Linked DNA regions of Danio rerio. The protein of the gene in region 2 binds, or shares a complex with, the protein of the main gene of each other region. Links are inferred from orthologs where the notes say so. Each region holds a gene or a part of one and is shown on either strand. Other genes may lie near its edges. The genes, in order: phf10, smarca2 and dpf1.

Region 1 (10,034 bases), on a different chromosome or scaffold from region 2:
TTATCGTTGCATGACCCAGATCTGAAGATAGATGGATGAATTGTTTGTATTTTGTAGAAAGTTGAACTGTAGAAAAAGTCGTTAATGTGTGTTTTGAAAATCTAAAAACATTAAGTCAGCTATTATTATTATTATTTATTTCAATTTATGTGAATGTCATGTTTGTCATAAATTAGCACAGTATATATAAAAGCTTTAATTTATTAAATCCATGGTAGGTACAGCTTCTGTTGATCCTCTCTTTATACGGTATGTTTTTGGCTTATTCCCATCTGTCGAGTTTTGTTAAAAGTATTTCTAGTTAGACAACATTAAATGTTCTTGTTTGTGCTGTGATTTTTATTTTTTTTTCCATGTAATACTCTTAGTTTAGCCTATACTTTCCTACTGTGACAAACCAAAGGCGTTTGTCCTTCTGTTAGCATAAGTGTGAGCTTCACTAACATCTAAATGTGTCTTTAACCTGTAGCCTTTTTCCTCCTTCAAATGTTGTCACTGCTCTTTTTGATTTGATTATTATTACTTTTTCCCCAATGGTAGGTCTTTTGACATGTCCATATTTAGAGTAACCTTTTGAATAAAGAGGTTTTAAAGAAATGACACTGTAGAGAGATTTCTTAATGACTGTGAGCATTGAATGAAAGTGTCACGTCTGCTGTATACGCTTTGGTTGACTTTTGAGTGTATGGTCCATTTTATACACTTACGTTACTTTGCAATTGGCTTTCTCTACTTCTTGGTTGTTTCTTGGTATTTACTCTTACTAATTTAGCAAATATGTATGGAATGGATTGCTTTTCATACAAAGCATGGGAATTTTAAATAGGGCTGGCCGATTTAATCGAGACGATTTTTTTATGCACATTTTGTCAGTAAAGCCGGTTCTAGTAAAAACGCGTTTAGATCAGGGGGGCCCAAACTTTTTCTTTTGAAGGGCAAAAATAAAAACAAACTTAAGGGCTGTGGGCTGGAGGTTAATATTGCAAAATGTATTAAAGCTGATTTATAATTCGGCCTGCCTTGCGCATAGCTGTGCATAAATACTTCTTTGCGTTGTTTCTGTTGCTCTGCAGTAACACCTCCGAAACGCTAGCAGGCAGTAGGTTTTTATGTTCCTCTGTGTTGAGTTTCTTCGCTGGTGTTTTTGTTTTCTTTCTGAATGCTACTTTAATGTACAAGTAGCTCAAACTAACTCATTTTGAGGCGGGAATCAGCAGACGTGCAGCAACTTTAATCATAAGGTAAACACAAAACAACAATTTCCATCCGGAGCGCCTTCATGGAACTCCACACTTGTAAACAATCGCTCCATCAGGCTCGCGCGGCTCTCACCTCCACCCACACTCGTCAGCACTACCAAGCCGAACAATCCCAGAGCTTGCGTTATGCATCATTGCGATGTGTAGTTTCATTTTTTCAGCGTCGACGCCGGCCACACAGAAGTATAAATCAGCCTTAAACCGAAAAGAAAATAAATGAATGTATGAATGTGGTGTGCAAATAAATTTTTTGGGGGGTAATAATTTTTTTGCCAAAGCTACATTTTTGTCGACTTCGGTGTCATGTCCTACAGAAGCAGATTTTCATTTAATAATAATAATAATATTAATAAATTATATATTTATATATATATTTATCTTAGTGACTAAACTTTAAGCAGTGACCTATTGTATATTTCATATATTTTCTGTATACTTAATGTAAAATGCAGATTATTATTATTATTTTTTGTCTTTCTTGTTTGTGTATTATTATATATGCGTTAAGTCTTTTTAATTGAAATTTGGGCAATTTCTATTGTTTTTAGCCTAATTTGCTCTGGTAAGTTCTGCTGACGAGCTGTAATTGTAAAAATGTTATTGGTTGAAGCATATCACATGGTGTGTATGTCCTTGGTTGCCTTGGCGTTTATAGCATTACTCTGCCCTTGCAGCCTAAGGTCATTCCCAATGCTATATGTGGCATATGTCAGAAGGGTAAGGAGGCCAACAAGCGAGGCAAACCAGAGGCTCTCATCCACTGCTCCCAGTGCCAAAACAGCGGTAAGTCAAAAGCAGCTCTTTCTGAAGCAGTCCTTGCTTTTCAGTTTAAATGGCACCTTCTGAAACAAGTAGTATAAAACACAAAAAACGAAATCGAAAATCATTTTAGTTTTAAAATACATGTTTTAATTCAAAACTCTAGGTTCTAGTTATTAGTAATTTGTATCTGCTATTATAAGTAGGACATAAAGTTGCGGTAACACTTTATAATAAGGTTCTGTTAATTAGTTTGACACAACCGTCCTGGATGTACTTTATCCTGCTTATTACACAAATACTTGACACGAAAACATAAATATTAGACACAAAACATCTGAGCCGTAATAGTTTATTCAATCTTTAATTAAATGCAAAGCAGACCGAAACAAAAACGGCTGATGGAGTATACACTAACCTGTGAGTAATTCAGACACAATATTGTGACAAACTGTCAACAATGCAAAGTTTGACCGAAACAAAACTAGCTGCATAAAGCATAGACTTACCTATGTATTATTAACGGTTAAAAGCCGAGGCATGATAGACAAGCAGATACATATGAACGTAGGTATAATTATTTGGATGTGACAGCCTGATCTCTGGCGTTTTGTCAGTTTAGTGAATTTGTACGAATTCAGTCTTCTGAAATTGTAAAATTTTTAAAAAGGAGGTGTGGCAACCTACTGCGCCCCTAAACCCAATCGTCACTCGTAAATTGATGAGCAAATTGTATGAATAAGATGGTACAAATTCATACGAATTGGCCACTAAATCAAAAAGTTACGAATTGCCGTGAGAACGTGTTGCATGTGAACGTATTCGCTGACCCTGAAGGTGATTCAAAATTTTCTGCGTTAAGCCATTGTTAACTAAGAATAACATACTGAATATTGTCACTGGCCAATCAGAATTGAGTATTCAAGACAGCTGTGTAATGAGTAAGGGATAAAGTACATCCAAGCGCAAAATGAAGGCCCGACAGGCTAATCAGCTGCCTGACGTTAAACGGAGCACTGTTGTATAAGACTGAAGGGCTTTAATCTGCGAAAATCATGCAACAGGATATAGTTTATCCCATTTATTTCATGGCGACATTTCACAATATGTACAAATTGGACAGAACTGTTTTGAAACATGAGTTGAATAATTCTTTAAATAAAAGCAAAGCTGACAGAAACGAAAACGGCTGAATGGAGCATACACTAACCTACGTATTATCTTGTCGCAAAATGGCGCCAGAGACAGACAAGCATATAAATATGGAGGTAAACGCATTCACTGACAGTCAAGATGATTTGAAGTACCTAGATGAGCCTGTGTTATTAGTTTAAGTGGTTGTTATCTGGGAATAGCATGCCTTGGGATGCAGCGACTGACTAATCAGAATTGAGTATTCCAAACTGCCGTGTAATAATGATCTACTAACATGAACAGTTTATTACAGTGGTAATTAATCTTTGTATTTTAAATTTTGGGTTTTAATAATGCATCAGTGAATGTTGAACTGTGATTAATAAATGCCATGCAAGTATTCTGCGTTCATGTTCGTAAATACGTTTAACGTTAACAAATAGAACCTTACTATGAAGTGTGATATTTTTTGTGTATGCTTTTTGAGTGTTTTAATCCGTTTTATACACTTGTGTTTCTGACTTAAACGGAATATTGAGTAGGGTGCGGGGCTTTCTTTTTGCGCATCATTCCCTCATAGAAAACTAATGGTGAGAGGGGCGTGGTTAAGAATACTGTGGCCGAACCATCAAACTGACATCATCAAACACAGTTCAAACACAAGCAAGTGCTCAGATGATTACCAATAAACTTTTTTCAATGGATTACCTTGCGTACGTTAATTGTTTATTTAAAAATAAAAATGTGCGTTAGCAAATTGTTTACATTTTGATTTACCTTTTGATTTCGAATATGTTTTAGATTTTTGAATACATTTTGATTTTACACGCATTTTAATATATACAGCACTCTGTTTTTAAAGCCTTTTCATCATCCTGTTGATAAAAAAAAAAAGTTCTCGTGTATCATTTCTTAAGTTTCTGCTTGCTGGAAAAGATACGTTTTTGTGTGAATGGCTAATGATGATGATGATGATGATGATGATGGTGATGGTGATGGTGATGGTGATGGTTATGATGGCCTTGTTTGTGCTCAGGTCACCCGTCCTGCTTGGACATGAGTGTGGATCTGGTGGCCAAGATCAAGATGTACCCGTGGCAGTGTATGGAGTGTAAGACGTGCACCGTGTGTCAGCAGCCCCATCATGAGGAGGAGATGATGTTCTGTGATAAGTGTGATCGAGGCTTTCACACTTTCTGTGTGGGCATGGACTCCATTCCTATGGGTGAGTCTCTACTTAAGATCTTCCTCTCAGATTTAGGAACACATAAATAAAAATACATTAAAGCTAGAATAAAAGCAGTTATTATTTTTTTTAAAAACCATTCGAAAAACCTAGAGTTGTCTAGAACAAACCATCATTATACAATTATTTGCCTAGTTAACCTAGTTATGTCACTAGTTACCTTTAAGGGCTCTATTTTGACGGTTCATGCGCAGAGCGCAAAACGCAGGGCGCAAACGCTTTCAGGGCGTGTCAGAATGCATTTTTGCTAATTTAAGGACGGGAAAATCCACTTTGCGCCATGGTGCATGGTCTAAAAGGGTTGAGCTTATTTTCTTAATGAGTTATAGGTGTGTTTTGAGAATAAACCAATTAGAGCCTCATCTCACATTACCTTAAAGAGCCAGCTGCGTCGCGCCATAAGCGCATTTTGACGTAAAGTAAGTTCACTTTCTCTTTTGCTCTCGTGGATAGGGAAACCTTTACGCACAGACATTAATTAGCCTATAAATTATTAATTTCGTTTGTTAAGCGCAAAGATTTGTTTCAAAACTATTTCTAAATTCAGTTTTAATTTCCAGCAAACGAATAAATGAACAACAATAACAAAGTGTGCTCAAAAACCTGAGTTATTTCCAAATACACCTGCTGTGCCCCATATGGTCTAAAATTTGACAGGTGGACAAATCTAAGCTTGTTTTTAATAAAACAAATATAAATATGGATATAATAAATAATACTGCTAATAATAATAACATTATACAAAAGAAAATTGAATGAACTGAAAAAGCCTCCCGAGATGAAGAAAGTATGAAGGCAGTGGTTTTTAAATTCATGTAGGCTAGAAATTAATATGTTTTGTAATATTTTAATCATTGATATTTATATCCTGTATATATCCTTAAGATATTATATATTTTTCATATGTAAAGATATTTGCGTATTGCTCTGCATCTTGTGTGTAGTGTGTAAGCCAGGCGCACTTTGCGCCAGACAATAGACCGACTTTGTTCTGGTCTTAAGATCAGACTATTTACAGTTTCTCAAAATAGCAACGCGCCAAAACACGCCTGCTTTTTTAGACCAGAATGCCTATGGGTGCACATTTGAGCGCAAATGCATTTGCTATTTAAACGGTGTGGCGCAACACCTCAAAATGACCCTTGCGCTGAGCTAAAAGTAGCAAAAGAGTATTGCGCCGCACCTTGCGCCACATTGCGCCGCGTGTATGATAGGGCCCTACATGTCACTTTAAGCTGAAAACTAGTATCTTGAAAAAATCTAGTAAAATAATGTGCTGTCCGTTAGAAATGTGTTGGAAAAAAATCTTCTTACTGTTAAACAGAAATTGGGAAAAATATTCAGGAGGACTAATGATTCTGACGTCAACTGTGTGTATAGTGTTTACATTTTTACACAAATTGACATTATTAAAACTTAATTAAAATGTTAAAATAGGATTTTTGTCTGCGTTTAGGATTTATAATTCTTTAAATATGAAATCACTTGTATAAATGATGATGCAGATGTTAAGGTTAGTAACATATAATAATAATTATAATAATAATAATTATTATGGGGGGGGAGGGGTCTCTCCTTACCACCACCAGTGTGCAGCATCCGCTTTAGTGGTTTAACGTCTCATCCGAAAGACATCGCTCAGTGACAGTATTCACCTTATTCTTCGCCAACAAGCGGGCGCAGCCATTTGAATCTTTTTGGCTCGAGACTTCCGGTCTCATTCACTTCCATTCATTTTTAGACATTAAAAACTGCTCGTTTTGATGTTTGATGTTGCAAACTGATATTTTCTTATTATATTATTCTACTTGGTCTGTATAGTCATGCAAACATTTGTTTTTAGAGCAAGTAGTTTGACCGTTTTCTGACGTTTATTATTCCTAAACGTCATTTCTCCCATAGGCGACTGAATCGGAAGTTCTAAAACAATCCTGAAAACAGGCGCACTTCCGCATTTTAGAATAAGGTCAATAGAGTTTTTCTTTCACTATACTGAGGCATTAAAAGTCACACAGACCGCAGGTTGAGCGCGCCCTGTTGTCATCACAAACATCACTTCTAACAGCAACCTAGTATTTCTTATGTGGTCTCCCATTCAGGTACTGACCAGGCTCAGCCCTGCTTAGCTTCAGTAAGAACCGGTCTTGCGCTCATATGGCTGTGTACTGAGATTGTAGCTTTATGAGACCAAAAACATAATATAATATAATATTTTTTTATTTTTAATCAGCTTAAACTTGTGGAGAACTTTTAACAAAAGAAACATCCTCATGCTTTCCTACGAAATCTTTTGTTGAACATAGAAGTGTGATGGAACTATTATTGTTTTATTTCATATAATATATTTCTGTTTGCATTTTTATTTTGTACAGGTTGCTGGGTCTGCGATTTATGCAGCAAAGACATTTCAACACCTCAGAAGAAAGGACAAACAAAAACACCAAAAAAGGCCAAATAACTTGCAAAAAATGGACCCAATTTTAGACCATGCTTTTGATTTATTCATATTTTTCTATTATTTGAATAAGTCTGTATGTGTTTTGTATGTCGCATTAATCTGTTATTTTGTAGCTGATTTTTTACACGCCTGTTTCTCTGTTGATTATGCTTTTTTATTGATTTGTTAAATAAATTTGAAACCTTTTTTTGTCAAGCATTGCTTACTTCCGTCTTTACTAGTTCTCTTGACGTTGTGATAGTGATATTTATCAACATTTCAAAAGAAAAGCTTTTTTTTATTAGCTTTTTTTGTACTAATTTATTTATGTAATGATCATACTTCAGTAAACGGGTAGTAATGGATATTTTTCTGATCTAAAAATTTTTTTATGATCTAAAAACTGTTGGGATACGAACATTTAGATGCTATGAAGGAATGAATGAATGAATACCCGGGCAGATATTCTTGACTCTTACTGGCTGTAGGCATCTTCCTCGAGTCCCATTATTAGTGTTTATTTTTAGCTTTAAGTTCAGCTTCTAGACTAAAGCAGAACAGCACCTTGTAAATTATTTTATTTATTTATTTACTTTCTATAATTATTTTTAGAGGTTTTTCACCTTTAATTAGAAAGGACCGTGGAGGTTACAGACAGGAAAGTATTGGGAGCAGAGAAAAGGGAAGGGTCGGCAAAGGACCTCGAGCCGGATATCGAACTCGGGTCGCTGTGAGCACCACGGTGCTATACAGTGCTCAGCATTTTTAAGTACATCCCTCACAAATCTCTCTTTTATATTCATATTTTTAATAGGAAGCTATACAATTTTATATTTGTGCATATACATTAGATTAGTCAGTACTGAAGCTAAATCTGGAGCTAATCTAACAAAATAACTTACGATAACGGTCCAAAAACTAGTACACACAAATTTATGTAATAGAAAAATATTGAATACAAATTTTAAAAAGAGGAAAAATCAAGAGAAGCGATAAAATTAAAAAAAATGGTTGAAATTTTGTAGATTGTAATTTTTTTACTTGAATTTAATTGTTATCTTTCAATTTCTAAATATGTTTGGTGACTAAAATATTATTTTAATAAATATATCTGTTTAATAAATCTGTTTTGTTTAAATGCACTAAAATACATTGCCAACATTCACTGAGAAATTAATAAAAATGTTTGTTTTCAAAACTGTTCTGAGCACTGTATGTCAGCGCACCTAACCACTAGGCCAGGGGTGGCCAACCCTGTTCCTGGAGAGCCACCTTCCTACAGATTTCAGATGCGACCCATATCAAACACACCTGAACCAATTAATTAGGATCTGAACACCACGTAATAATTATAGGCAGGTGTGTTTGATATGGGTAGCAACTGAAATCTGCAGGAAGGTGGCTCTCCAGGAACATGGTTGGCCACCCCTACAGTAGGCTATTGGCGCCAACAGATTACTTTAATAGTTTATTGCATATAAGTGGTTCAAAACCACTGTTTATAAGTTTGGCACTTGAGCAAACATGCCAAAAACGACAAGGTTCAGTTCTTTTCAAGTCTAACTCCATAATTTAAAACAGAAGAACGAAACTCAAGTATCAAAATGATGACAGGATTGTCAGTCTTGTGTGAACTATCCCTTTAAGGGCTGCAGTATAAGGTATGATTTAGGGTTATTTAAATATTAAATAATTATTACAAAGTGTTTTCAGTCTCGGTTTTCTTACCAAGTGCATCCGGAGATTTCGTCTCAGTCCAGAACTTTCATTTAAGTGCATCCCTAAGATAGAAAAAACCATATAAACAGTAATAAGAATATTGCATAGACACTCACATGCACTCAAAAAAATTACGTTTGCTGTTTGTACAAACTACTTATTTAAAATGAGCTGATACAACACAATAGGGTATATGCAAAAGCATGCAGAAGGACTTTTAATTTGTCAGTAACCCGAGTCAAACACATCCGGGGAACTGTATGCACTTACAAAATCGGCCCTTGTAATGTCTGTTTTTAAAAATCAATAAACTTCACTGCCTAAATGATTTATGATATAAAGTGGGTTTCAGATTGTACAAGAATCAATGCATTAAATTACATTTTCCTGTACCATGTTTTTAAAATATTTACATTTATTTTACTTCAGTATTTACAATGGCGTTTCTGCCCTAGCCTGCTGATCCTGACGGCCCAAAGCGATCTCACGGCAATTCGTAACTTTTCGCTTAAGTGGCTAATTCATATGAATTTGTGCGATCCGATTCCTACAATTTAGTACGATTCGCTTAACACCCAATGACGTTTGGGGTTAGGGGTGGGGTTACTTGCAACGCCTCCTTTTTAAAATCGTACATTTTCATACAACTGAACTACGTTTGAATTTGTACGAATTAGCCACTAAAATGACAAAACGTAAAATGCTTACATTTCCTCGTGAGATCAGGCTGGACGGCCGAGTGAGTAAACGGCTTTTCATCTCATTTTACACTTCAGCAACTTATTGAACGATGAAGTCTATTTAACGGATTATATTTGAATAACAATACAACATCAATGCTGTAAAAGGAACCGTATAAAATTGAAAGTCACATTAACCGTTCACCGGAAGTTTATCAGTATTGGAAGAAACACTAGCTCTGCATTTACCCAATTCTCAACTTTTTTTAAGGCACAACTTAATTGTTTTATGTTCTACCCCCTTAAATTTGTAGAAACTAATAAGCTAACTCAATTTCTTCATGTTGTTTCAGCACAAATCGAGTGTGTGGAACCCACCATTTGTTTCACAGTGAACAATTATCGCGCTAACGATTATTTTCCGACATTTTGTGCAACTCTAATTCAGACCTGACATCATGAATTTTAAAGTGAGCAGTAGGAGGAGGAGTCGGACACACACACGGGTTGTTTTAACTACACCACAACACAAGTCAGTCAGTCGTCTCTACTTTCACTGCCTAGTAAATGGGAACAGTGTTTTTGCATTGTGTTTTGTTGTGCAGCAGATGCCACGTGGAGGTCAGTCGCGAACGACAGGTAACAGGTGTGTGAATGTGTGTTTGACGGCTGCTCTGATACCTAATATAGGCGTGTGTGTGTATGTGTGATACAATGGACACGCAAACCTGCTCCTCGGGAAAAGGCCTCGTAACAAAGACTTCTGCTTTCCATTGAGCGTCCGCCGCTGTTTTGACCGA
Region 2 (10,196 bases):
CAGAAGCCCGGACAGCATTGTGGGGAAAGCCATGCAACAAACTCCATGGTTTATGATAACAAACACATATGACCCTACACGTATGGCTAAATACTGCATGCCATGCGGGGTCACGGTCTCACTTGGCAGGTCTGTCATCGGAAATCACATGCTCGGATAAATAACTAAGAAGCAGGGTCTTCTCAAAGGATAAGGAAACTCAGCTATGAATAATAATGAGAAACCGACACGTGGACAGGCAGACAAATGCTACATCTCTGATTCTGATGCCGCCAAAAATGATTTTAAACCCGTAAGATGGAATTAGCTGACAAAAGCTCAAAATTATCCAGATTTATCCAAAATTAAAAAGCTAAAAGGTGCTAACGTCGTCTTAACTGATGCTCAAAACACACAAATCTGTCATTTTTTTAAAAGTAGTTAAGGGTTTCTTGAACCTTTAATAAATAACATGCTTTTATGTAAAAAAAAAAAAAAAGTTCAACCAAAATGTTTTATTTTTACATTATTACCTCACTTTCTACTTCTTCAAAACCTATTTGAGTTTCTTTTGTTATACTCAAAATAATATATTTCATGGTATTTTTTCTACTATGGAAGCCAGCAACCAGCAATCTTCAAGATATTTCATTTTATATTCCACAAAAGAAATGAAGAAAATGAAGAAATGAAGAAACTCATAAAGCTTTAAAACCACATAAAGGAGACTAAACAATGATTCTTTTTTATTTCTTTTTTGATAAAACTGTCCCTTTAAAGCTGTCCATACTCTGTTCTGGAGGACCAATGTCCTGCATATTTTAGCTCCAACCGAGTTTGGACACCCCTTCTTTAAGGTGTTAAAAAAAATTATGATAATAAATATGATAAAAAAGGCATTTCTCAATTTATCCAGAATCATGCAGCCATCAAACAGTTTTACAAATGGAGCAACCTTGTTATTTACTTTTTTTGAAGTAATTTTTTACTTTGGTGCATCATTAGATGTAATTAGTAAGTCTAACAATAACTCAGAGCGGATCTTGTTACAGTGACTCACCATATTCTGTTCCTCATGCTCCAGAATAGCCTGTAGGAAAGCTCTGCGCTCATGGCTGGAGGATTTCTGATCAAACATTCCTGCCTGAATGACCTTCTGATCAACGTTCAGTTTGTACTTGGCAGCCGCAAGAATTTTCTCCTCCACACTGTTGACGGTACACAGGCGCAGCACACGTACTTCGTTCTGCTGGCCAATGCGATGAGCTCGGTCCTGGGCCTGTAAGTCCTGGTGGTGGAAATCACAGCAGCGTGTTATTATTAGATCAATAATAATCAGAGTGGGGGATTTTAATTAAAAAGAGGCATAGTGCATTCTTTGATTTGTTTTCTAAAGGAAGAACAAATGGATGCAAATCACTGTGACTTTCTGTGCACTGTTTGTGGAGGAGGATGGATGGGTTAACATTAGCATCTTCTGCTGAAAATGTGTGGGGCAAAGGCACATAACACAACAAACAACAATAAAAAAAACAATTAATATATACATACATTACAAACGCCAACAACAAATTTACTTTTGTCTGCAGGCGTAAACAAAATGTTTTAGATGATATACTTTAAGCTAAAGGTCTGCATTCCTGCATAGCAAGAAATCTGGGGCCTGGGGCCATGTATCAATGCTGCGTATGCACAAAAACTTTGCGTACGCCAGGTTTCACGCTCAGAATCGCTCACGTTTGGATTTACTAACGATGAAATGAACGTGGGAATGTTGGCGTACGCACATTTTTTTTTGCGTGTCTGTTTTATTTCCATTGGCGACTCCTAGAGGCAGTTGTGTTAAATTGCACTTTACAAAGAGTCTTTGAGCCGTGCAATGGCAGCTGTATGAGACAGGTTCATCTAGCAGGTATATAAGGTTTCCATACCATACAGTTGACCAGCCAAACATTAAAGCGCTATTTGCAGCGGTTGCCGGTTTTCCCAATGTAATCGGAGCTATCTACTGCACGCACATTGCTATAAAGGCGCCATCTGAAGATGAATTTGCATGCGTGAATCAGAAACATTTCCATTCAATAAATGTGCAAATAAAATATGATGCATGAATGAATGAGTTCATCTGACGCTGGATTCGAACAGAGTTCATGCTCGAACGTGTCAAAACATGTTAACATGCGTTTTACGAGCTGCGCCACTGAGACTATTGAGTGTACTACAACATCTACAACTATAAATAACACTATTTCTTTTTTTAATCCACAGTGCGATGTTCAGACTTAACTGTGTTAACCGCATCAGCTAAACTCTCCCCACTCTATTTTTCTTCTTTTGTTGTTAATTCCGGAGGACAAACTTGCAAATAACACCGTTTTTCTCTGGTCTACCTCCTAAAGGAGCACCCTCAATTCACATTCTGTTCAAAGTTTCTCTTTTTGCTTGCTTTTGCCATTGCTTTTTCGTTGGGTTTTGCCAAAGTAGAGTCATTAGCATATTCATACGGGGGAGGAGGCAGGGAGGGGTTTTGCGCTCCTGCATGTTGCACCTTTGTGCGTACGCAATGTTTAGGAGGATTTCCACGCAAGTCTTTGTACATGACTTCACGGTCATGTACAAAGACTTGCTGGACTTTTGGTCAGGTCCCAAAGTCCAGCAGTGGGACCCAAGCAGATTTCTTGCGATGCAAATAAATTTCTGAATAAAATGCGGTAATTGAGAAAACCATCAGTAATTTAAATTGAAGCGGTCGCTCTAACAATAGTGCTCCAGTGTCCCAATATAATTTTGGAATAGCATATCTTATTGAGCACCGGTACAGCCAGTGCTCTTGACTGTTACACATGCTGAAAGCATGGACCAGTGCTTTCTGCATGTGCATTTTATTGGCACAGTCTGTGCACGCATCATCTGCATAACGGTCATCAAAGCTGTCTTTACCAACATGGGAGAGCAAAGTGTAGATTGGCTGTCCTTCAACTTGCATTAAAAATGGTCAGTTTACTGTTAGGAAACCCATATCAGGCAAGTCTGATGTATAGGATTCTTTTACATGTGTCATATACACAAATGGAAAAAAATGACCCTATGGACAATGTGATAACACCTCAAAGTTTTACCCAATAGCAGTCGCAAGCAAAATAAATTATAGCCACGCACAGACCTCTACTTCAAGCAAACAATTTTATTGGACTTACATATACTTATTACATATACAGTACCATCATTTTTTTATGAAAAATTATAATTAATACAAGTGTTTATTATCTTATGTGATGTCAACTACCTATACAGGCATGTTTCCACTTGGGACTGAAAATAAAATAAAATAAAATAATAAAATAAAATTCAGGCACTTTAGATCAGTCAATATGCAAAATGTGCTTTGTGACAAGTGGCAGAATATTAAATTTGAGGTCTCATCTCATTGTCATAGAGCCAAGTCGCCCTCACAAGTGTCAAGTTGCAGAGAGACCTCAAAAAGTACTGAAGCCTTTACGAAATCTGTCAAATATAGCCTTAAAAGTAACATGCACATTATACAGTACTCTTCAGCTGCTGTTACTCAGGCTGTCTAGTTAAGGAGAACTGGCAAAAGTACAATCAGTGTCTATGTAGGTAAAAGTAATTAAAATTTTAATTATATGGAAATGACCAGAAAACTAAATTAAAGCTATTATTCATTCATTCATTTTCTTTTCAGCTTAGTCTCTTTATTAATCTGATGTTTCCACAGTGGAATGAACCACCAACTTATCCAGCATATGTTTTATGCAGCGGATGCCCTTCCATCTGCAACCCATCTCTGGAAAACATCCATACACTATGGACAATTCAGCCTACCTAATTGGCCCTTCGCTAAGCCACACCCAAAAAACGCCACCCACCAATCGTGGCTTAGCAACCGTAGCTATGCGCAGGAGCTCTGTCAAGCTTTCGAGCGAGGGAAACAGGCCAAAGCGCTGTGCATATTGATTGTGCAAATCTGATACCCGGTATCCTTAAAGTTTGGACTGGGTGGTGGAATTTTTTCCCTTTTCAAAACCTAAAACCCAAGGGGAGAAATGCCAGCATGGATCAATCTCTGTGAGGGGTGCTAAAGGAGCGGTGTTAAGTCAGTTTTGTTTTCGATATTTCTGACACATTCAGTCATAGACGGCAATAACTCACACACCTCTTACCCTAAACAGATCTAAAGTGTGTTTATTACAAAAATACAAAACAGGTCATGTTTCCCAGCTGTCTTTTTCTTTTTTCGCTCGATATTATGAGCACTGCTCCATTTAAGCCTTTGGAGTCACACAAATAGCAATCATATTTCCATCTGTTTCAAGCTTCGAATATTTGAAATTACATATCAACAGAACAAAACCGAGATGTGATCACAATCTGAGCACTTGCGATCAGTATACTTTACAAGCAGCTGTTTTTCAGTCATTTATAAGCCTCGATGTCCATGTCAGAGCTACAATTCACTGATGTTTTCGTCTGTCTTTTGGAGATTTATTCATCTGTGACGATGCTATAGAGGGTTAGTGTCTGCTTTTATATTTGGCATCGGATTAATATTTGCTGGTAGGGAAAATCTATTCGTTCACTTCTGCTATTTATACTTTGATTTGCATTTCAATGTATTTATCTCTTTCACTTAACTGTAAATTAGAATAGAAACGCTATAAAGAGCACACAAACATACGTACAGACGGTGATAGGTGTTCACTGTTATGGGTAAATGATGCTAATATCTGGTACAAATCCATCTATTTCCCCTTCTTGGCTGTTCTTTCTATAAATTAATGATGTAGAAGCACTGTCCATGCGTTTTTCCTAGTTGGTAAGTAACGCTATACTTCATTGCACAACAATTAATCTATCAGGCTTTTTGGCTAAAAAAGAGAAATCAGGGTTTATTTAGTTTTACTGAATTATTTTTAAATGTCACCTTTCCTGCTGTGCATGAACTGAGCTGTTGAATGGTCAGCGTATGAGGCGGCTAGGCTAAGCTAGCTTCAATTTTGATCCGGTTATTTTCTAATCAGTTGCCTATTATGTCGTGAATCTACCCCTGTAATGCATACTGCTGTCCTTTTTTGTCTGGCTTTCTCGGATATCTTATCTGTTGGAAAAAAATGACTAATTTTATCCCTGGCAATGTCTGAAACTGGCGCATACACATTGTAATAGACGTTGCAGGCAATAAAGCTTGACAGGCATAGCAACAGTAACTAAGGAGGGCGGGGCTTAGCGAAGGGTCCATTCACCTGTGCCCCATGTCTTTGGACTGTGGAGCACCGGAGGAAACCCACGCAAACGCAGGGAGAACATGCAAACTCCGGAGCACCCGGAGGAAACCCACGCAAACGCAGGGAGAACATGCAATCTCCACACAGAAACGCCAACTGACCCAGCCAAGGCTCGAACCAGCGACCTTCTTGCTGTGAGGTGACAGCACTACTTACTGCGCCACTGCATTGCCTAAAGATATTTTAATGTATTAAAAATAAAAAGAAAATGTATATACAGGATAATTTCAGATAATATAATAAAAGAATAAAACAAAATTAAATAAAGAACCTAAGATTTAAGACCATAATTACAGATAAAAAATTTTTTTATAAAGGTTTGATGTAATCAAAATCAAATAACAGTTCAAAAAAATCAAAAGAAAAAGCTACCTTTTTTCTGCTAGGGTAGAAAAACAGACCTCCACGATTACTTCAAACAAACATGCACTTTGAAATGTATTTCAAGTCAGATCTAGAGATGACAGATGACTGCTGAGCTGAAAACTTGCTATGCGACTGTCTAGTTCCTCTCTAATCACAGCAGTGAATCACACAAACCTGGTGGGGGTTCCAGTCGCTGTCAAAGATCACAACAGTGTCTGCAGCTTGCAAGTTCAGCCCCAAACCTCCCGCCCTGGTGCTCAGCAGGAAGATAAAATACTGGGAGCCTTCCTCATTGAATTTCTTCAAAAGCATCGCACGATCCTCTGACTTTGTAGTTCCTGGAGGACAAAACCAGCAGCAAAGGAGTGTTAATGAAAGAGAAAGGGCAGCATGTTTGTGTGATCACACTTATTAAAATTTCCAATTGGAAACCCCCAAGAAATAAGGCCCTAAAGGACAGGAAAACATTAAAGAAGGACTGCGCTGATTACTGACCGTCCAGACGCAGATAAAGGAAGTTACGGTAGCCAAAGTAATCCTCCAGGATGGTCATGAGGGAGGTCATCTGGCAGAACAAAAGCACTCTGTGATTGGTGGCCTTCAGTTTGGGCAGGATGCGGTCCAGTAACTCAAACTTGCCAGAGGCTCGGTACAGGTCAGGGCTAGGTGGACAAGAAAAAAAAAAGCACAACGCTAATGTCAAATCTATGATGGTGTACCTCCACTGTCCAGAGCCCGCGGTCAGTTTAGTGATCCATAATTGACATGAATGAACACTTCATGGTAACTCTTAAGGTTATGTAACGCTCGATTTGATGTATACTCACCCGCTGATAATGCCATTTGGAAATCCCAAATGTTCAGCAAAGGATTCCTGAATAGATACAAAAAAGATGCTTTTAGTGTAGCTCATGCTATACAAGTAGGAAAAAAATACTGACTGTTTATTACAGTGGCACTGCTCGTTGAACAACTAACAAGGCTTACATACAGTTTATGGCTGTGGCGATAACTGCAATTTTTTTGTCTGCAGAGGAATGACAGTAACCACAGAAACCACAGTGTTCACCGCAGCGTCTATGATACTTTGCCTTCTGGTAACTTGTGGTCTGTGTGAGTCCTAATGCCCCAGAAAAAGTTAAGGGGACACAACACTGTCCTGACTCTTTGTGGTCATTAAAAATCCCATGGCACTTCTCGTGAAAGAGCAGGGGTGTAACCCCGGTGTCCTGGCCAAAGTCCCCCTATCCGCCCTTACGATCATGGCCTCCTAATCATCCCCTTCCACAGAATTGCCTCTATCACTGTCTCTTCACTTCACCAATAGCTAGTGTGTGGTGAGCGCACTGGCGCCGTTGTCCTGTGGCTGCCGTCGCATCATCCAAGTGGATGCTGCACACTGGTGGTGGTGTGAAGAGACCCCCTCATGATTGTGAAGTGCTTTGGGTGTTTGGCCATACATAATAAATGAGCTATATAAATACACATTACATTACATTACATTACATTTTAAGATTGTAAGGCTAACTGGCATGAAATGTCATCAGTCGACAGATATTTCCCAGTATTTCTTTATTGCAATTAGAGATCACATAAATAACCCCGAAAAAGCTAAAGCAGTGCAAACAATACGATATTACTGTTGTGTTTGCGATAAGGAAAAACGCTAAACACATGCGGGTTTTTCTTACAGCAAGAAGACTCAATAGAAACAAACAGATGGCCAATCAAAAAGTAACCTTAGGTTATACAAAAGCCCAATCCCAATTAGATTTTTAACCCCTACTCCTTCCCCTTGGCCCATAAAACAAAGTGTAAAAGAGAAGGACTTCGAAATTTATCCCTAAAAAATGGGACACCACTACAAGACCTGCACACGTCAATATATGTCATTGCGTTCTCATCCTTCATATGAGATCAGTGCTGTAGTTATTCCAGTTGCTTTATTTTTTTGGTATTTTTCTTGAGGAAATCACTTAAGGTATGTATTATGTTATCATAACAATCTAATGTGACAATAAGATCGTAACTGGACTGTGCATTTACAAAGTGGCCTTATTCATCAATGTAAACACACCAAAAACAAAACTAACATTATAGCACACACTGTTTAAAGCTCTTTCCCAGTCACTAGACTTTTTCTGACAGGGTATTCGAGTGTCATCGAGTGTCAGAATGTTGTGGAACTACTATACATAAGTTATAGTTTTTGATTATACATTGCGAAATTTAGCAGTTTTTATTTTAGCGTTTTTTTAAAAGCATGACGGTAAAACACAAATGCGGCTATGAATATATTACAACATGTGCTTGTTTGTTGTAAAAATTCACAATAATATAAAACAATACTAATTTGTGCATCTTCTGACCTCCAGGTGCAGTGACCCTGCCGTGGTGGATGGTGCATTCTGGGAAATTTTATTACTCCTTGGTTTCGAGTGTGGTCCTGAAAAATCTAAATTTGAAGGGCTATTCGCCCCTTCCTCTTAGCCCTATGCCTTCAAGCTAAAGAGAATTAGGACACCCCCAACCGCTCGTTTTGCACTTTCCCGTGAAGGGGTAGGGGTGTCCCAATTCTCTTTAGCTTGAAGGCGTAGGGCTAAGAGGAAGGGAGAAGAGCTAAGGGGTAGAATTTGGATTGGGCCAAAGAGTGGCCAACACAAAATGCATACATTCCTGATATGCGAGTCCTTTCTTACACTTAATACACAACAACTACTACGGCATAAATGCAGCTCTACAACATACAAAAGAGGGACATCAACTTAAAATGTTACTCACCAAAATAATAATGATTTGATCAGCTGTAGTTAGAAATTAGAGTTTTTCTCTTTTAAGGGCTTATTATGTGGTCTCTGTCGCCATCTTGTACATGGACGTCAACCGTCTTTGCTCTGCTCAGTGACAGGCTGATTTTGTATTATTATTTAAAACAGGCTCTATCCTTATACAGTAAATAAAGGCATAGTTGCAATCTAAACAACTACAATCTCGACTAAAAAAGCCTCAAAAGTACATTATGTTGTCTAACAGCTACAACATTTGTCAAACTATAATGAGTTTATTGATCTGTTGTCACTCTATATGGGCGGAGTAATACTGAAGGCTGAGGAGGCTGTACGAGTTCTGATATTGCAGAATATCGCACGGCTGAGAAAGCCCTAATTACATGTATATACCATATGGTTAGGATTAGAATGCAAGTTAGGTTCAGGGTTAGTTGCATGTAAAGCGTTAGCTTTTTTGATTGTTGATAGATATTTAAAGTGTCCCTGTTGTAGTTTTTTCAGATTTTAACATTCAGGTAGCATGTAATATAGCTGTTTGTGAAAGTACTTTAATGTAATTTTTGTACACCCAAAATGATTCCAAATTGCTTAAAAATAAGTCATCGGTAACTCTTTTCTAACATCCAGCACAAAACTGCAAAGGTTTGTAACATAACTGCATAATGCCTACCTATGCAAACAACACCCGTTTCAATCAAACATTTAGTTGAAGCTGAGGCATGAAGCAGTTTGGTTTGTGATGTTGATGTTAAGATGGTACCCCTTTTTCCACTGTCTCCAATTTGCATTCACTTTCAAAGCATGCGAATTTGGGCTTGAATTAGCTAGTGACATTGTTACTGTTCAGATATGTTAATGAACGTTTCATTACTGGTACATAGACAAATCATAACAAACTGGCCATCGCTAATTAGAGCGATGAAAAGACGAGTTTAGAAACACTGTGAAAAAACAGCTGTTGTGATGTATCTACAAAAACAAATGTATGTTTGTTTTTTGTTTGTTTGTTTGTTTTTTTACCTTAGAATTGATATAAACCTATTGCAGAAAATAAATCTATTATGAATCAAAAATTATTATTATTTTCAGACATAGACAGAAACTTTAAGGTCTAACTTCAGAGCTATGTAGTAGTTTTAGGTCTTGAAGAAGATTTTTTTTTTTTGGGCTCTGTTTTTTGGACCCCATTGAGTTTGTATGTCAAAAAGCAATAGCGTTAAAATATCTTCTCTTGTATTCTGTTGATATATTTAAAGTCATTTAAATTGCAGGAAAGTCAGTTATAACAGAAATTCAAGTTTTAGGTAAACCTATGTAACGTTAACTTAATAAACATTGTTCTATGACAGATAGTGATACCTCAATGTGCTGAAACATGTAGGGATGGTTACAGATCTTCTTCAGTTGCATGATGGTGTTCATTAGGGTCTTGGCTCCACCTTTACCCTGTGGAGAAAACACATTAAACACATCAAATCTGCACAGTGGTGTAAAAGTGAGTAAGCACACAGTTTCTCTGTTTACCTTCTTGTCTTTCTCCGAGCCATCTGTGAGTAGGATACCTTTGCCCTGCATGTGTCTGTACAGGACCTTCTGGATGGCTGACATGTCACATTTGATGACATACTCCACCTGTGACAAATGAAGACTCAGTGCATCAATATAGTTTGAACAGGATGACATACAGGTTTTGCCCCAAAGCTTAGACAGCTGACTTGTTTATTTCCTGCCTTATCAGGCAGTGACTATGCAGACAATG
Region 3 (10,196 bases), on a different chromosome or scaffold from region 2:
AGACATGAGCTGCGTCCCAAATTGCAAACTATACACTATGCACTTATGCACTACATACTTATGCACTTACACACTCAACAACATTGTATATGTATGAAGTGTAGTGGAATACTAAGTTTTTTTTTACTAAGTGGAAATTCAAACCATTTTCCTGATGATGTTTGATGGTTGCCAAATTAGTAAAGTAAACGACCAAAGTACCAAAAAATACTTGCCATGAGAATAAGAATTCACCATTGGGAGGCGGTATAATCACTCTTGTAGGAGAATTTTGCTTTCACAATTCAAAATAACTAAAGTAAGCTAACATGTGTGCCCGATAGCTCCACCCCTTCTGCTACATGAGCAAAGCTGCGTTCGTGGAGTACATGAAGTGTCCATCATTCCACACTTAATTTTACCAGTTGAATAATGCCCAATCCCGATTCTATTTTTGTACCCCTACTCTTCCCCTTCCTCTTCCCCTTGGCCCTTACAACTGAGGGTTAAGGGGAAGGGCTTTAAATTTACCCCTAAGAATTGGGACAGCACTAAAGCACCTGCACACGTCATCATATGTCATCGGGATCTCATGCTTCATATGAGATCAGACGATGGCGACTGCTGTAGTTATTCCAGCTGTTCTATTTTTTTAGCATTTCTATTCAGGAAATCACTGAAGGCATATATTATGTTATCATAACGACATAATGTGGCAATAAGATCGTAACTGTACTGTGCATTTACACAGTGGCCATATTCATCTGCATCTGCATTCATATTTATTCTGACAGGGTATTCGAGTGTCATCGAGTGTCAGAATGTTGTGGGACTGCTATACAGGAAATGCTATTTGGGATTATAGATAGCGAAATTTAGCAGTTTTTTTTGCGTTTATTTTAAAAAGCATGACGGTAAAACATGAACATGGTTATGAATATATTAAAACATGTGTTTGTTTATCGTAAATATTTGTAATAATGACAAAAAATACTAATTTATAAATCTCCTTACTTCCGGGTTCAGCAATACTGCTGTTGTGGCTGGTGAATTCTGAGAAATTTTCTTACCCCTTGGTTTCGAGTGTGGTAGTGAAAAATCTTTGTTCAAAGGGCTATTCACCCCTTCCCCTTAGCCCTACGCCTTTAAGCTAAAGAGAATTGGGACACCCCTACAACTTGATGTAAACACGCAAAAGGAAGGCTAGGGGTGAGGGGAATGGCTAAGATGTAGAATTGGAATTGGGCCTAAGTGCATCAACCGGGCAATTAAAGTGCACTTATTATTTTTAGAGTTTTCAGTGTGAATGCACTACTTACACTATTTTTACTACAAAATGGCATAGAATAGTGTATACATATGCAATTTGGGACTATGGTTTAATCGTAAATCCTATATGTGCCACCAGAGTTACTGTTATTTTGTTAATGTTTGTATGCAAAATTGAATGGGAAACTTCATCATCATCATCATCATCATCATCATTATTATTTTAATCTGCTTATCTGGGGCCTGGTCGCGGGGGCAGCAATCTTAGGAGAGAACTCCAGACTTCCCTCTCCCCAGTCACTTCCTCCAGCTCCTCCGGGGGGATCCCGAGGTGATCCCAGGCTAGTCGGTTTATACTTCTGCGTCAAGTGATCGGTGTGACCCACGGTGCATGCAACACGAGTAGCTGTGCATTATTCTTCTGCGCGCTGTTTCTTTTGCTCTGCAATAACACTTCCGAAACAATAGTTGGCAGTGAGGTGTTAATATTCCTCTGTGTCGAGTTTCTTCGCTGGTGTTCTGTTTTTTCTGAACACTTCCTGAATGTACAAGTGGCTTAAACTCGCTCATTTTGAGGCAGGGACCAGCGGACGTGCAACAACTTTAACCATGAGGTAAACACAAAATAAAACTTTCCATCTGGAGCTCCTTCATGGGACTCCACACTTGTAAACACTTGCTCCATCGGGCTCGCACGGCCCTCGTCCCTGCCCAGACTCGTCAACGCTACCAAGCGGACCAATCACAGAGCTTGTGCTATGTGTCATTACGACGTGTAGTTACATTTTTTGAGAGGTGCGTGTCAGCGATGCTGACGCCACGGCGTAGAGCTATGTGTCAACGCGTTGGCTGCGTCGTAGCATATGCATGTGCTTGACGCAGAAGTATAAATCAGCCTATGGTCCCTCCAGCATGTCCTGGGTCTTCCCCGAGGCCTCCTCCCGGTGGGACATGCCTGGAACTCCACCCTAGGTAGGCTTCCTGGAGGCATCTGAAACAGATGCCCGAACCACCTCAGCTGACTTCTCTCGATGTGGAGGAGCAGCGGCTTCTACTCAGAGCTCATCCCGGGTGACAGAGTTTCTCACCCTGTCTATAAGGGTGAGCCCTCCCACCCTGCGAAGGAAACTCATTTCAGCCCCTTGTATCCGAGACCTTGTCCTTTCGGCCATGACCCATGAGTCATGACCATAGGTGAAAGTAGGAACGTAGATTGACCGGTAAATTGAGAGCTTTGCTATTTGGCTAAGCTCTTTCTTTAAACTATTTCAGGTTTAGCAATTCTAGAAATAATAAATCCATAAGAAAAGATATATGACTGGTTTTAAAGAGCTAATTTAATTTAGGGTTTTATTCATTGAACAAAAAACATGTTTACAGCATTCAACATTTGAAGTATGCTTGCTTGATGCATGAGAACCGATAGGGTTCACTCTTGTGTGTCATGTGTCAGGTTAAAGTTGCAGTAAGAACCAACAGGATTTGATCTGAGCCTCAGTTCATATTTACCTTAATAATAATAATTATTAATTCTATACATTTATATAGTGGTTTTCTGGACGCTCAAAACACTTTACGCATTTTTTGAGGGGAATCTCCTCATTCACAACCAGTGTGCAGCATCCACATGAATGACGTGATGGCTGCCATATTGCGCCAGACTGCACACCACACACCAGCTGATTGGTGAAGGGCCAATTATGATATGTGGATGGTTAGGAGGCCATGATGGACAGAGGCCAGTGGGCAAATTTGGTCAGGACGCCGAGGTTAAACCCCTACTTTTTCAGAGTCAGGACCTCAGTTTAACGTCTCATTCGAAAGATGGCGCTCATTGAGCAGTATAGAGTCCCCATCAATATACTGGGGCATTAGAACCCACATAGACCGCAGGTTGAGCACCCCCTGCTGGCCTCACTAACACTACTTTCGGCAGCAACCTAGCTTTCCCATGTGGTCTTCCATCTAGGTACTCACCAGGCACAGCCCTGCTTAGCTTAAGTGGGCGACCATGTGAGAGTTACAGAGAGCAAGCTATGCAGTATACTAGCCATGAAACCATAACATAAAGCATTGCTATTCTGCATCATTTAGGGCAACCAGAGCTGAGAACACTTCCCTAAAGACATAATTGGAACAACATCTGTGCTTATATTAGTCTGGTTTTATTATTCCAGAGGTTTCCATAATCCTGGACCAGGCCGTATCCTGAGCAGACACTGTGGCGGTTAAAGAAATAACGATAAATCAAATTGAATATCACAATATTTAATCACAGAAATATTAAACATCGCAATATCAAAGTTTTTCAATATCATGCAGCCCTAATATGAATCACCAATGACCACATTTTAATCTAAAAAATTATTTTTAATATTCAACTAAAAAAAAACTAAAAGTCACCCACATCTTGTACAGATGAAGGTTAAAGCCAGGTGTACACAATGTGAATTTTGATGGTTGGAAGATCACGTCCATTTTCGTCTGCACTAGTTGTTTAGGATTGGTTTGGTGTGTCACAGACATCCATTAACCCCCACTTTTTGTAAGCTTCAAAATAAAAGCCACTATCCAACACCATTAAACAGCACGGAAGAGCCAGGATAAAATTTAAAATTACTCACTCTGTTTGTCTGACCGAGAAAAAAGTCATTTACACAGAGGATGGAGTAAATTATGGGGTAATTTTCATTTTTAGGTGACCCATTCCTTTCAGTAAAATAACAGTACATGTCCATTTTTGGTTGAAAGTAAGCCCTTGACTCTGATGATAACTGCCTAACAAGTGGACAACTGTGAGTGCACTCATAATGCGCGGCTGCAGAAGTGAAATAGCAGGGAGATGCGCAGCTGTTTAACTCCTGAGGCGACACAAGCAGCAGGATCACAGGTCCACTCCCAGGAGACGCGGCACTCCAAAGACTGACTCTTAATTGAAGTGCTAATTGGTTAACTGTCCGCCTCTGGGATAGATGTCATGTTGTGTGCTAAACAGCGAGGGTGGCGACACTACTGACAGCTCAATCTAAATGCACGCCGCTTCATTATGATCTATGAGCATCCGTGTGTCAAAGCGGTTATATAAACGTTACTTCCCGCAAACCCGGAGATGTTGAAGAAAGCATTCTCCGCAAAATCAATACAACCGACTTGTCAAACATACCGGCATATTCACACAACGATAACAAATGTATACTCGCAAAATATATATATACACACTTTGTGGTTAACAAGGAAGTCTGCCAGAGGAGGCGTGTCGGCCCTGCAGGCATTTGTGTTTCTGCCAAGAAGAGACACAAGTACTATAGAGAAATCAGAGAGGAAGACGAAGAGAATGAGGGAAGAGCTGAAGAGAGGAAGATGCCAGCAGACGGAAACTCTGAATGGTGGGAAAGAGGGTACTGAAAAAAGAAAACGACACACAGGGACAGTGTCTTCATGGAAGAGAGTGTGAAAGAAGTCTTTATCTAGTTGACTGTCGAGTGTTTGTTTCTGCAAAAAAAAGAGTCATCCTAGGAGGAATCTTTCTTACCTGGCATTCGCTCATGGGTTCCTCTTCCTTTGTTTCCACCTTTTTATCCAGCAGTTCACCGCTGAGGAGTGACTCCAGGACGGGACCATCAGGAACACCCCCTTCTTTCTTTAGCGCTGCTTCATAGTCTGGACACACAAGGCAAATAAATGTCATCTTATAACAACGCAAACCATTTAGTTTGGGCTGTCAGGATGAACTTGCATTTAAAGATTTGTGATGTTCTTCACTGTTGTAATGCTAGAAGACGTCATTATGCCAACATATCGATTACAAAGCCACATTATCAATAATTTGCGGTGCTCTTTGTAGATTACAGTGGCCAAATAACGGTTGTGTTTGTGTTTTTAAAATTGTCATTAGATCATCTGCAGAATTTTATGAGATTGCCGTCTTACATTATTTGAATAAATCTGGCCCTAATACAGCAAAAGGGTAACACAACCAACACTGAATATTCTGTCACCATTTACCAACCCTTCAGGTGACACAAACATGTTTGACTATCTTTCTTCTGTTGAAAACGAAAGAAGCTGTTCTGAAGAAAACTGGTAACCTCTAAAAATGAACTTGGATAGTATCTGTTAATCCTATAGTATGGATGTCAATGGTTACAGGTTTTCAGAAGGTTTTCAAGGTTTGGAAGCACTTGAGAGTGAGTGAATAGTGAGTATTATTTAATTATTTTCATTAGTAATACAGCAAGTATTATTACCAAAAAAGGTTTAAAAAATGTGAATACTTTAAACTTTCTTTTGATGAAAGAAAAATGTAACACAAAAATATTAAAAAGTACAATTGGTTACAACCAAGCATGGACAAAGTACACAAATCAAGAATCTGAGAAATATACAGATACCATAATAAAAAAGCACTCATTCACTGTAAAATCAAAGTGCAATTAATTCAATTAAATGAGTTTTAACTTTAACTCAAATATTAATGAAAGTTCTTTTTACTTAAAATAAATAAGTCACAGCAGGTTTCTTGTACCTAGCATGCTTTGTAATTACAAAAGCATACTTATGACAAATAAATGGCACAGGTTCACAAAAGAGATAAAAGCTATAGATAAAACTATCTTTTCTTATACTTTTGCTGTTGAAAACACTATTGGTTATAGTTTAGGGAAGGGTTGACGTCAGTGGTTCATTAGGTCAGTGGTCCCCAACCTTTTTATCACCAAAGACCGGTCAACGCTGGACAATTTTACCAGGGACCAAGGGGGCAGGGGGGAGTTTACATAGATTGCTAGGCGACCACCAACCATATTCTCAGAGGATGACAAGCTCACAAAACAATGTTTTAACTCTGATACAAGTTTTATTTATGGAGAAAATGAAAAAGCGCTACAGTGTTTGCGTGCTCTGTGTTTGTCTAAAATAATTAGTTTACCGAAATGTGTACATTCCATACAAAGTATGAAGCTGATTGGACTGTTCTTGTCACTTGACTCGTGGTGCGCTCGCAGCATTTTTTTAACTGGTTGCGTCTGGAAGGCGCGAGCACATCCCGCCGCTTGCAGGTGCAAGCCGCACATCTCCATTGAAAATAACCAACTTACGTGCAGAGAAGCCCCGATATGTGAACGGCCCCTAAAAGCCTGCCATCATTTTCATTCTCCAGCAGTTGATCTTGTTGCACAGACATGCTGGATTCACCTAAATTGTTGAAAAATGGGTTGCAGATCTATTCCATGGCAGTTCACTGGGCCTTTTCCTCTTATCAAAAAAGCTTTCCAAAGACGTCTGTTTCTTACTCATTTTGCTAGCTTGTGGTTTAAATTTGGGCACTCAAATGACCGGGATGTAAGCGAGAGATTACAGTCATGTTTCAAAATAAGAGTTTGTTTAAATAGTTAATTAATGAATGATTTTTTCTAATGCGCCCGGTACCAATTGGCCCGGTGGTTGGGGACCACTGCACTAGGTGACCTGTACTTCTCATGGACATGTAAAAAAACGTGTATCTGAAATGACCAACAAAATATACCCTAAGTAATTTGTTCACAAGATTAACAAAAATCTAGGCAGTGCCCTAAATTTGTCAACTGAAATGTACCCGAGAACTGTATTTTATATTTCACAAATATGTAAGCTAAGGTACATATTTCCAACTAGCCAGGGCTCTTAAAAACAAACTAATTAGCATTCTAGTATCTAGTTAGTGCTATGACAGCAAGAAGATGCATTAACATTACCTAATGTTATATTAGCATTGTGTTGCGATTGTAAATAAACAGACATTTTTACATTCAAGCATTTTACAAGCTAACAGTAGTACCCTAAATATGATTTTCATTTACGAAAATAAATCCTAATATTCAGCATTATTAGCTTACTTTCACACCACAACATAATTATGAAATGCAATGAAATAAGGTAAAGTTTCCCAAAATAGAAATACTTTGATAAAGTACAGAAGCAAACATGAAAATACATTGCTTACCACTGTTTTCAAGAAATGTTTTGGTCACACTTTACATTAAGGTTTCATTGGTTGAAGTTCATTCATTCATTTTCTTTTTGTCTTAATCCCTTTATTAATCCATGGTCGCCACAGCAGAATGAACCGCCAACTTATCCAGCACATGTTTTACGCAGTGGATGCCCTTCCAGCTGCAACCCATCTCTGGGAAACATCCATGCACACTCATCCACATTCATACACTACGGACAATTTAGCCTACCCAATTCACCTGTACCGCATGTCTCTGGACTGTGGGGGAAACCGGAGCATCCGGAAGAAACCCACGCAAACGCGGGTAGAACAGAAACGCCAACTGACCCAGCCGGGGCTCAAACCAGCGACCTTCTTGCTGTGAGGCGACAGCACTACCTACTGTGCCACTGCATCGCCATTAGTTGAAGCTGTTTAATGAATTTACCAACTTGAACTAATAATGATGAAAAATGCATTATACATCATTTATTAACTAGAAGAGTAAAGTTCAGACACTCGTAACTTTATGGTGGCTTGAGAAAGCCTAGTCTGAAAGTTTGAAGTAGTTTTAAAGTTTAAATACCTAAAGTAGTTTTTAAGAAACAGTTGGCATAGATAGATAAGTACATATATGTTAGCATGTTTCTAGTATGGATTGGCATGTTTCTTGCTAGGCGGTTGCTAGAGTGTTTTGTATGGTCGCTAAAGTGTTGCTATGTGGTTGCAAGGTGTTGCTAGGCAGTTGCTAGGATTTTCTGAGTGGTTGCTAGGGTGTCCTGAGTGGTTGCTAGGCAGTTGCTAAGGAGTTGCTAGGGTGTTCTGAGTGGTGGCAAAGGCTTTGCTAGGCGGTTGCTAGGATACTCCAGGTCATTGCTAAGGTGTTGCTAGGTGGTTGTTAGGGTGTTCTAAGTGGTTGCTAAGGTGTTGATATGTAGTTGCTAAGGTGCTCTGAGTGATTGCTATGCAGTTTCTAAGTCATTGCTAGGGTGTTCTGATTAATTGCTAGGCGGTTGCTAAGATGTTCTGAGTGGTTGCTAGGCAGTTGCTAAGGTGTTGCTAGGAAGTTGCTAGGGTGTTCTGAGTGGCTGCTAGGCAGTTGCTAACATAAATTAGCATGATTCTAATTTGAATTAGCATAGTTCTAGCATGGATTAGTATATTGCTATTATGAATTTGTATGTCTTTAGTATGTTCAATGTAAAGTCAATGGCAATTTTTTTACAATGTAAGTCTATGGAACAGTTGCTAGGGTACTGTAAGTGGTTGCTAGGGTGTGGCTACTAAGTTAAAATATATCATTGATTGGCAGATTAGTAGTCTGAGTTAAATGAGCCCAAACTTAATTCTGTATGACAGTCTGGAGCAGAGTTATGAGGTCACATAGTTTGGTCTAATGTTAAGTCAATGGGACTTTTCCGAAACTTCCGGGTCATTTTTTCTGACAAGTTGGAAAAGATATAGCAACCCGAGTCAGAGCAGTTTGGAGGTTTGCAGTTAGTTTGGTCTTTGTAACTTGAATGGTTTAGGAGGAGATGCATATAGAAACTAGTCTCAGAAAAAGATGGAAAGAGAATAATAAGTTTATGTAGTATAACAGTGTGTTGCCTTTTGTTATCGTTCAACACAGAATAATGAATTATTAAAATATCTTTAGGCTTGTTAACATTAGTTAATGCACTGTGAGCTAACTAACAATGTAGGACTTTATTTTCATTAACTGTTAACAAAGATTCATTTCTTACTGCATTTCTGTAACCGTTTTAATTTTTATACATTTTTTATTAGGATGATATGTGGAAAAATACGATTGTCATACTTACAAAAACATCAAACATTTAGTTTAATTTTACCGATTTTAAACTCGATGGGTCCAAGACGTGGATCCTCTAAGATGTTCAACCGTCTCTTCTTCCTCCAGCACCGTGCAGGATAGGTATAGAGCTGCCCTGGAGCCACACCTGGGTCAAACAGATGCAGAGTGGCCACATAAACACCCAAAACCCAAAACTTATGTTAAAGTCACCTGTGTAGTAGGATACACACAGACACACACCTGGCCCACGGTGAGTCTTCTCCATCCATATGTAGCAGTTACTCTGTGCTACACCTGTCTGGGAGTCGAGGAAGGGCAGGCGCATGGAGCGTTCGGCACAAAGTCGAGCATTATAACTGCGGCAGTGCTCAATCGCCTCACGATAAAACTCCTCACCAAGGCTGGAAACATTTCAAAAACAATCTAAGTTTAATACAGGTTATTTTTTTTCCTCTCATGTACGAGATTGTGGCCTGTTTCATTTTATTTTCTCTAAACAATGAAATAATGACTATGAAAATCAGTTAGCCACGACTAAAGATGCAAACTAACAAGTCATTCAGTATACCAATAGTTTATTTACCAAAAATCTTGTCACAAAATGAAACATTTCACGACATATTAAAGGCTCTAATTAAACAAAGTTCACCCAAACATGTAAATTTACTTACCCTCAAGTGGTTCCAAACCTTTGTGAGAGTCTTTATTGTTTTAAACACTGGTGAAGATATTTTGAAAAATGTTTGAAACCATTAACCAACAACCATTGACTTCTATAGTTGGAAAAACAAATACTATGGAAGTCAATGGTTACAGGTTTCCAGCTTTCTTCAAAATATCTTCTTTTATGCTGAACAGAAAAAAATATATAAACTCTTTAAGATTTGAAGCAATAATGGGGTAAATAATGGAGTAAATGATGACCAAATTCTCAATTTTGGGTGAACTAACCCTTTAAGCATGACAAAAATACCAAAATACTAATTCACTGCCATTTCAAATCCTTGTACTTTCTCAAATTCTTCAAACCAGTAGGTTTCACCTATGTGTCAAGAATGAGGCTTTAAAAAATTTAAAGCAGATATGACAGATTTGAATAACTTTGAATGACATCTCACCATGGATTTTTAATTAGGTTTAGTTCAGGACTCTAGGCTGTCC

What was found.
Region 1: smarca2 (region 2) and phf10 share a complex: the UniProt entries of both Homo sapiens proteins name them as parts of the neural progenitors-specific chromatin remodeling complex. The link is inferred for Danio rerio from reciprocal best matches to the Homo sapiens genes SMARCA2 and PHF10.
Region 3: smarca2 (region 2) and dpf1 share a complex: the UniProt entries of both Homo sapiens proteins name them as parts of the neuron-specific chromatin remodeling complex. The link is inferred for Danio rerio from reciprocal best matches to the Homo sapiens genes SMARCA2 and DPF1.

What each region holds. Positions count from the first base shown.
Region 1 is NC_133188.1:6,025,859-6,035,892, forward strand, and holds the end of phf10 (PHD finger protein 10), read left to right. Parts: intron 1-1,933; coding exon 1,934-2,042; intron 2,043-4,188; coding exon 4,189-4,377; intron 4,378-6,770; coding exon 6,771-6,856; 3' UTR 6,857-7,047; downstream 7,048-10,034. UniProt on the Homo sapiens protein: Involved in transcription activity regulation by chromatin remodeling. Belongs to the neural progenitors-specific chromatin remodeling complex (npBAF complex) and is required for the proliferation of neural progenitors.
Region 2 is NC_133180.1:46,073,802-46,083,997, reverse strand, and holds part of smarca2 (probable global transcription activator SNF2L2), read right to left. Parts: intron 10,070-10,196; coding exon 9,962-10,069; intron 9,884-9,961; coding exon 9,797-9,883; intron 6,523-9,796; coding exon 6,476-6,522; intron 6,311-6,475; coding exon 6,144-6,310; intron 5,987-6,143; coding exon 5,823-5,986; intron 1,268-5,822; coding exon 1,040-1,267; intron 1-1,039. UniProt on the Homo sapiens protein: ATPase involved in transcriptional activation and repression of select genes by chromatin remodeling (alteration of DNA-nucleosome topology).
Region 3 is NC_133190.1:16,342,440-16,352,635, forward strand, and holds part of dpf1 (zinc finger protein neuro-d4), read right to left. Parts: intron 9,437-10,196; coding exon 9,276-9,436; intron 9,181-9,275; coding exon 9,073-9,180; intron 4,909-9,072; coding exon 4,781-4,908; intron 1-4,780. UniProt on the Homo sapiens protein: May have an important role in developing neurons by participating in regulation of cell survival, possibly as a neurospecific transcription factor. Belongs to the neuron-specific chromatin remodeling complex (nBAF complex).